Arabidopsis thaliana: one gene and its partner. The protein of the gene in region 1 interacts with the protein of each later gene in a pairwise test. Each region holds a gene or a part of one and is shown on either strand. Other genes may lie near its edges.

Region 1 (3,444 bases):
ATCGAAGCATTCTTGTTCGGTTTTAAAGCCTGTAGACCATCGTTATCACAATGTGCAGGTTATAAGAAATCATCATCAAACAGAAGAGCAAATCAACCCAGAGGTGTGTTTTTATAAAAGCTTATGGCTCAAGGCTAAGGCAGAGAGATCGTTGATGGAACATGAAACATTTCTTTCAAAAGCAAGATCTTGAGCAATTAGTGAAGAGTTATATAAGGTGACATCAGATCATCCTAACTTTTTTACTTCATAGCAACAATGTCAAAGATTGATTTCTCTTTCTATGAGGTCCTATTGAGCGTTTGCTTTCGATTTTGCAGGTTAGCGTGTAGAAATTCAAGCGGCTGAATCGAGGCGGTGTTACTAGCTAGAGAAGTTTTGCTAGCAAATGTATGTGTAGGTCGAAAAGAGGGACACTCATGTCAATTCTAGACAAAGACTTGAATCTGTATTTTGTGTTGTAGAAACTTGAAATACTTTATACACAAATCTAGCTTTGTTTCTTGAACCAAATTTGTATTTTGAAGCTACATTTCAATGAATATATGTAAAGAGATTACTCATCAATCTTTCTTGCTAAAGAGTTAACAACACTAGACATAAACGTCTCAAATTATAGATGTGAAGCAACATTGTTTATGGCTCAGAGAAAGGTAAAAAGAAATAGCCTCAAAAAAGTGGAGAAACAGAGATGTTCGAGAAAATTGCTAACCGAATCAGAAATGAAGCAACAAAGACGAACCATCACAAGTCTTTTGCAACTCACTAAAACCTATGTAGTGAGTTCCATAATGGCGGAAACAATATCTCCGTTACTCTCTTTAAGAGCCTTAACAGCCTTGGGCCTCGAGACACCGGCTTGAGTCATCACAAGATCAATGTCCTTGGCTTCAACACCAGTCTCATCAACATCTTCATCGTCTTCCTCCTCTTGTGCAACCGTGGCTGCTTCAGAACCATCAGTGTTGGGGATCATAGACGCAACGTCAGGCATCTTGAACCTCTGAGCAGCTTGTGCTTGTAGCTGAGAGCTCATGTCATCAATCTTAGCCTCACCGAATATCACATAGGTCTCAGAGTTCGGACTCTTGAACACATCCGGCTTCGAGATGACAAACAACACCTAAATGATACAATAACATACAGAATCAAACATCGCTACACAATAATGGAATACAGTCAATTAGGTCATTACTTACATTCTTTGATCTCTTGATAGTCACTCTGCTAACATCAGTAACAGGTTTCATTCCGAGTTTCAGCATCGCCTTTCGGCTTTTCTTCTCGCTTCTACTTTGCTTGGAAGCCTCATTCTCACCAGCTCCTTCACATAAACAACAACAACAACAACAATAACAACATCAAAACCCTAACAAATGTCATACATAGCAAAACCTAGAAAACCTAATCCAGACTCGAAACAGATTGATTCAATCACAAATCCACAACATGATTCCAGAAACATCCCTAAACCACCAAACGAAAACAATCAAATCGAGTAAAAGAGTAAAAATACCATCAGCAATCTCATCGTCGTCGTCATCAACATCATCATCGTCTTCGTCTCCATCTTTCACATCCTCAACAACAACATCGTTCTCCTTCTGCTCCATAACACAAACCAAATCAAAATCGAACAAAAATCGATTCTCTTAAAAAACAAATAGAGAAGAAGAAGATTACAATACCTGGAGCTTCATCTGCTCTTTAATGGCATCCATAAGAGCCTCCTCATTCACTTCCTCAATAACTGGACCTGGCATCTTCTTCTTCTTCAACCTCTTATCTTCTTCTTCGGAGGAAAAGATAAAAACGAAAACCCTTGAAACAGCGCAGCGAAACTAACCCTTTTCTCAGTTTCAGTGGCGATGAATATAAAGAGGGGCGTAAGATAGTGATTTGGGCTTACCCTATCGTTTAATGGGCCTTAGAAATAGTTCGTTTAAGTTTTATTAATTAGCCCATTAGATAATACATTAGCCCCAAACTATTTGTTTTCATAAATATATTAGCCCAAGTCCACCAATTCTGATGTGGTGTGTTTTCCATTGATAACTAAAAAAACAACCAATTTTAACGCATGAATATCTAGGTCGTTTAGTTTTTTTTTTTCTATTACAGATTACGAGAGTTGTTACATAGACAATTTTATTATGCATAATTTCTTTCCCTTATTAGATCCACGATATACGACACCTCATTCTTCTTCTCCATGCGCTTGATGGATACCAAAAATATCTTCTCTGCGTATAATCCTGGCGAACGGCTATAATTGTACATCGTTGTAGATCTCCTGCACACTTGCCTCAATTAATCTGCAAATCTATTAATAAATTGCAGTAGCTGGGATTCAAACTCCAAACCTCTTAGTATATAAGTATTAATGAACCCTTGATCAACCATTGAACCAAGGAGGCTTTCTGGGTCGTTAAGTTAAGAGACAAAATTTAATAAATAATTAACTTAGAGACAATTAGTTTTTTTTCTTTTTAAGGTATATTGACAAAAAAAATAGATTTGACGTTGGAAAATATTTAAAAAAATAATAATTATCTCTGCTTTTTTGCCTTGCGTATGGGACAATACGTATATTCAATTGACTTTTTGTGCAAGGAACGAGTTGAGTGCATTTTAAAGGTTAAAGCTTGTCATGTGAAATAATACACATACAACAAAAAAGAACGAGTTAACATGCATATTAGTAACGGCTAGACTATTAATTATTGTTTTTTTTTTCAGATTGGAGAAGTTTTAACATACAAACAGATATTATACGATTCTAGAATGTGTACACGTGAAAACACATATATAAAGCACTAAAAGGTCAATATTATACAAGCAGACAATTTGTTAATATCTGTGTGCGATTAAGTTAGTCTAGCCGTTATTAAATGCATGTCAACTCGCTCTTGCTCGTTGCATGTCCGTGAACTCGTTCTATCACGCAAGGCAAAAGCTGAGGCTGTTTTTTTTTTGAACTTTTTCAACTTCATATCTATTTATTTACTTTATTTGTCTTTTTACAAAGATAGAAAAACTAATTGTCTCTAAGTTCATTATTTATCAAATTTTGTCCCTTAGCTAAACGACCCCAATATCCATGCGTTAGAATTGGTTGTCTTTAGTTTACCAGTGTGCAAGTGAAAACACACCAACATACAAATTGGTGGACACAATTATTTAGGCTTATATATTTACGAAAACGAATTATTTGGACTAATGTATTTACTCCGATGGAAAGTAATGGAACCTAAACGAGCTATTTTTATGGTCCATTGAACGATAAGGTAATCCCAAAGGACTATCTTATACACTTTTTACAAATCAATGTTATAAATTTTTCTAAGATCTGAATTTTGTTTTGACAAAATATGATGAATTCAACAAAATCCGGTGACCATTCGATAAAACCGCCATTGGAATCATAAGTTTCCCGAAAGATCA
Region 2 (5,527 bases), on another chromosome or scaffold:
ACTCAAAGCGTGAGCGAAAGGGCACTGTTTTTTTGTTGTTGTTCTAAAACACAACGAAATGATTTCAATTAGCTGAATAAATGAGAGAGTAGGTCTTCTTCATCGAATTGTACAGGAGCCGTCCGATTAATATCTGCTGGTCATGATCGATGGTTGACATTTCGTTATATACTTTTTCTTTTCCAATATTATATTATTCCATTTGATGTTGTTGAAGTTTGTAAAGGAAAGTGGATGTGACCAAATTTAATTTGACGTTATACTTATTTTAATTCAGAGAGATTCGCTTTTTTTAACTAACCGAATCCATAAAGATGCAAACCGAATCATAATCCATATCGGTTTAACTTTTCTTCGGTTCAAATGGTTCGGTTCGGTTTGGTTTAAGATTGCAAAGAATCAGCTGGTCATTATGGCAGATGTTGAAGTAGCTATTCTTCTCCAAATCGGTTGTGAACTTAGTGAATGCAGAATCATTCTCTTGTGAACCTGGAGATTTGCAGAAGCTGCAGCTGAATTAACTATTATCAATTTGCATTTTGTGAGATAAAATGGACTTAGCTCGCAAAAGAGCAGAATCAATATGATGTGATATGTTTCTACATTTTAAAGTGAATTTGGAGTCTAATTGTAGTTTTGTAATCTGAAGTGCTAATTAGTTCAAAACTCTGACAAAGAAAAAAAGAGAGCAAAACACTGAATTCATAGTCTCTCTCTGTTTCATGGTTGAACAGCAGAATCAGTACTGTTAGTTTCTTTCTGTTTTCTTTCAGCTTGAAGGGATCTGCAAAGTGATTCAAGCTTGTCTTTCTGTTTCTTTGTCTTCTCCAACAGTTTCTTCAATCTTTCACGCTGTTCAAGGTCAACCAAAAGTGTGATTTTACTGGTTTCATAACCAAAATCTACAAACCCTTAAAGATAGTGAGAGAACAGACGGTTTTGTTTTACCTCTTCGACGAGTTCTATGAGAGTGATATCCGACTTCTCAGTTTTGTTTTTCAAGAATGCGTTTTCTTTTCTGAGTTCTTTGATTGCTTTTGACATCTACTCAAAAAACCAATAGAGACAGGATCAAGTTAATAAGATCACATAAATAGCACTTATGATCTTTCAAAGAACCTCGAAGGTATAAAACTGTTATTACCTTATCGATTTCTTGTTTGAATGTTTCAAACACCTCATTGCTCTTAACCAACGCGTCCTGCATAACCAAACAGCCTTTCACTTTACAGTCTTTTCATATAATATCAGTAAAAAACATATCTTAAGAGAGTATTGTATCACACCCAAAGCAAGCAATCTTATTATCTGTGATCACAGTGCATCGAGAAAACGATTAAGACTTATTTAGGAAGTGTAAAAGGGGAAGAGAGCAGACCTGGAACTGCTGGAATTTATCTCCATCAGAAGTCAGCTGCAACCGCAAATTTTTCTCAGTAGACAAAAGCTGAGAAACTTGATCTGCGTAAACTTTCATCTGAGATTGTTCATGGATGAGTTTCTCCTCGTGCTGTTTAATTTTTAAAGCAGAGATCTGTAGCTCAAGTGTTTTCTGCTTCAACTGTCCATTCGAAAATGAGATGTTGTCAAGTAGACATCGCAGTTAAGCCAATTATTTTGGCTAAATCATGCTTCATATATAGTTGGAAAAAACGAATAATTTAATTACCCTTTGCTCATGTTGTTGTTCTGAAAGCATAAATTGATCAGCCAGGTGCTTCAACTTCGTCCTTAACCTGGAGATTAAGAAACAAACCCATTGTAATTAGAATGGACCTTTATAATATGTTACTGAGCTGATACAAGCAAAGCCGTTTTAAAAGCAATACACATGTAAGAATATAGTTTCCAGAATGTGGGCGAGCATATTCATACTGTATTAACTTAAACTGCAACAAAACTATACATATATAATAAACATACTATAATTTTCCTACTCCAAATGAACATGTTATGATTGAGTTCTTTCCGCTTACATCTCATTTTCTTTGAGTTGCGTGAGGCTTTCATTCTTTTGCTCGTCCAACTTAATGCTCACATCCTATAAACAAAAGAGGATTAGGAAGGTAGAGAGCATAAGAAAAAAATCAATCAAATAAATTCTGATTTTGTTTTTGTAAGTTTTTGATGTTGCAAAAGCCTGCAAGCAATTCATCAAACTTAGTTCTATCAATCTGTAACTTGAAACCAATATGGACAATTTTCTACTTTGTTTAGTTCCAATTATTTCCAAGGACTAAATTTTAGTGTAGATCGGTACTAACATTTGCCAATGTCAGTGTAGAGAGTTTCAGAAAGAAGAAAAAGATATTGCCATGACTGTCCAAAGCATATAGCACGGAAGATTAAAGGAGATAATATCCTAAGAAAATATAACAAGGATCAATAAATGATGTGCATTTAAGATTTGCATACTTAGAAACACAAAACAAAGCTATTATCCAATACTTGTTCCTCTCTAAAACTGCCAATACCGACGGCAAAATGGCTCAAATTTCTATATTCAGCAAAGATCAAAACCCTGGGAAGAATTCACATCGAAAGAAAAATGTGTTCAACTTACCATTATAGCATCCTGGAACTTTGTCGATAAATCCGATCTTAAAGTCTGTCCCTCAGTTGAAACCCTCTTGCATTCTTCCTGTTATACAAAGGAACATTTAGTTTACACACCAAAAGGTTAGTTCCTCAAAACAAGACACACCAAGTAGAGTAAGCAAGAAGAAAGAAAGAACAAACCATTAACATTTTGTTCTGACGTTGTAACTCTCTACAAAGTGATTCAAGCTTGTCACGAACAGTAATAGCTACGGTTAAAAACAATAATGATGAGTACAGACTATAAAGCATTAAACGATGAAGGTAACACAAAACTAGTTTGGTTTTATTGATATCCTATTACCAGAATCTCTTTCAGAAAGGACTTGCTGATACTTGAGCATAAATTCCAAAAACTCTTTCTCTGATTTGAACATATTCTTTGAACCCTTACGCTTGCTCTCAACCACCTCCTGCTTTCAATATCATCAGCACACAAATCAGATACATCATCTTCAACATATATTCTTCTCAAAGCAACAAGATTGAAGAACTCATCAAAATACTGACTTGTTTTTTGGGTTTGAGTGAATCCATTTCCTTAGACAAGGTTGAATTTTGAGTTGACCCTTCTGACACTAACTCAAACAAAAAGCAAAGAAACAAACTTTAGGTTACAAAAGAAGCAAATTCCTATAAAGAAATTAAGCTTCACATTTTCACTCACATGTTTGAGAAATAGGAGGAGAAGCTTCTTTTTCTTTCTGCTCGAACTCTAACTCAAGCTTGATTGATTCTTGAATTAGGTCAGCTACTTCGTCATCTTCATTACCATCAGTTTCACACAACGGAACCGGAAAAGTTCTTGGCTTCTCTGTTTTCTCGATCGCAACAGTTTCATGGTTTGTTGTTTCTTCCTGGGTCTTGGGAGAATTGAGAGGCGGCTCTGTTGCGCCGTCGACGAATCCATCGGGTAAAGAATCGACTTCAGGGAGCAAATTCGAGTGCGGTGACTCCATTTTTTGAGTCTGGATCTGATGAAACCTAATACGAAGAAAACCCAAATATCTTACAACAATTCTGATAGGTAAGTTTAAATTTGTTCTTTCTTTTAGATTCGTTTGTAAAATTTTATTTGGTATAAAATCTTAACAATAAAACCAAAAAAAAGAAAAAAAAAATCTAATTTTGACTAAATTAAATGTTGTTCGTTGTTATTCAATTAATAACTTTAAGTGTTAATAATTGATTTCTTCATAGAAATGTTGAAATAAAGTGTTATTGGTTTTTTAAATTTGAGTATCATCATTATCACGTGACTTTGAAATTCAATTTTATTTGATTAATAAATGTTTGGAAATGATCAACTAAAGAAATGGTGTTACATTCAAGTTTGATAAATTCTTATTGATGCTTCGTTTACACAGAGAAATGTCAATTCGAACCGAAAGCATATAAAAATTTGGTCTCGCAACTTAGACCAACTTCAATAGTAATTTTTTAGTAGAAACTCATACAATTAAAAAAATATATATATTTAAAAGTTAAAAAAATATATATATGTTTTAGAAACTACATGAATTCTATATGCGGGAGGTACTCTTAGTCATTACTGACAAAGATCTCAAATTGGGCTTAACTCGGATAAACATGATCATAAACAAATTTAGTTTGAAAACCATTTTTTCTTTTTTATAAAACTCAACAAAAAAAAGTTAAAAATTTAAGAGGCCATCATTGATAAAACTTTCAACTAATTAATTTTGTCTAAATAAACTTTCAAATTATCAAATTTGAACTTGGTTATTAATTAACTAATGGTCAACGATAATTTTGTTCTGAATAATATACCGTTTTTGACGACATATTAATATAAACTCTAAAAAATAAATTAAAAATTGTATTTTAGGATTTGTAATTAAGATTTTTATCTTTCCTATTATGACTAACACTTGTGCATTCCGAAAACAAACGGAATTCACAAAGTTCAATTACTTACACCTTTTAGTGTGTTTTTTCTTCTATAATTGCAGTTTCCTATATGTTACTCTAATTTTATTTTCATTGGTTAATGTAACAATAAATTTGACATTTAGACAACACTTTTTTTATTGCACAAGTTCAATTAATTACATCTTTCCACGTGGAAAAAAGTAAATTCGTCAAACACTAACTTAATTATCCTGATCAAAGAAAGCAAAGGTGAAGAAGAAGAGGTTGTACAAATTCTGAAACAAGCGTCTCTTAAAACAAATCAAAGGTCTAAAATCGTAAGGTGGTTTTGATTATTCATCGTGATCCCGTACGTACACCACACCATTCTTACTTCAACAAATCAGTCAATGCAAAGATGGCAAACATATTTTGATCGATCACTGGCTCGATTTCTCTTGCACCAAACGAGAATGAGTGTTTCCCATGCATCCTCCACCTGCATAGCACGGCGCAGTCACATTTGCTAAATACTTCCTCGGCAATGCGATTCCGAACCTCTTTCCTCTTCTTTCTTTTTTCTCCTTTTTGACAATGCTTCCGTCCTATAGAAATACAAATATATCATTGTTAGAGATCCTCATAGATCAAATAATCAATAATGTGAATTAATGTGATTGACCACCTCTTTTATCTCTGTCGTGACGCTTTCGGTTTCCATCGACTTTCTCGCGTCTTCTACATCTTTTTCTGCAATAGTGAATGGATAAATTGTTTCAATAACGAAACTACATAATATAACAAGCATTTCATATATAAACATATATATGTCTCTAACAATGCATGCATCCATATACAAATACAAATAGTAAATGATTTATACATGTATATATGTGTGTTTGTATAAGAACATATGATTTACCTTCATCATCATCATCAGAAGGAACATCGACGCAATAAACCCTAAAGCTTGGAGATCCAGGACCAATCATTCTCTCATCAAAGTTGTTGATACTCCCTTCATCAACATCATGATTCTTACCATCATCTCCTTCCT

The links. Proteins that work in one complex are often made in the same cells at the same time.
Region 2: the proteins of AT4G10480 (region 1) and AT5G50840 interact in a two-hybrid assay, tested with the Arabidopsis thaliana proteins (one large-scale study listed by BioGRID).

The regions. Positions count from the first base shown.
Region 1 is NC_003075.7:6,477,317-6,480,760, forward strand, and holds AT4G10480 (Nascent polypeptide-associated complex (NAC), alpha subunit family protein), read right to left. Parts: upstream 1,856-3,444; 5' UTR 1,764-1,855; coding exon 1,689-1,763; intron 1,605-1,688; coding exon 1,517-1,604; exon of another isoform or gene 1,325-1,516; coding exon 1,200-1,324; intron 1,124-1,199; coding exon 773-1,123; 3' UTR 560-772; downstream 1-559. Other genes in the region: AT4G10470 (uncharacterized protein), read left to right, coding at 59-193. UniProt on the Arabidopsis thaliana protein: May promote appropriate targeting of ribosome-nascent polypeptide complexes.
Region 2 is NC_003076.8:20,683,933-20,689,459, reverse strand, and holds AT5G50840 (alpha-taxilin-like protein), read right to left. Parts: upstream 3,643-5,527; 5' UTR 3,558-3,642; coding exon 3,266-3,557; intron 3,177-3,265; coding exon 3,109-3,176; intron 3,015-3,108; coding exon 2,903-3,014; intron 2,808-2,902; coding exon 2,740-2,807; intron 2,642-2,739; coding exon 2,564-2,641; intron 2,042-2,563; coding exon 1,977-2,041; intron 1,737-1,976; coding exon 1,670-1,736; intron 1,562-1,669; coding exon 1,379-1,561; intron 1,202-1,378; coding exon 1,145-1,201; intron 1,045-1,144; coding exon 949-1,044; intron 853-948; coding exon 721-852; 3' UTR 538-720; downstream 1-537. Other genes in the region: AT5G50830 (nuclear polyadenylated RNA-binding protein), read right to left, coding at 4,911-5,075, 5,153-5,220, 5,393-5,527.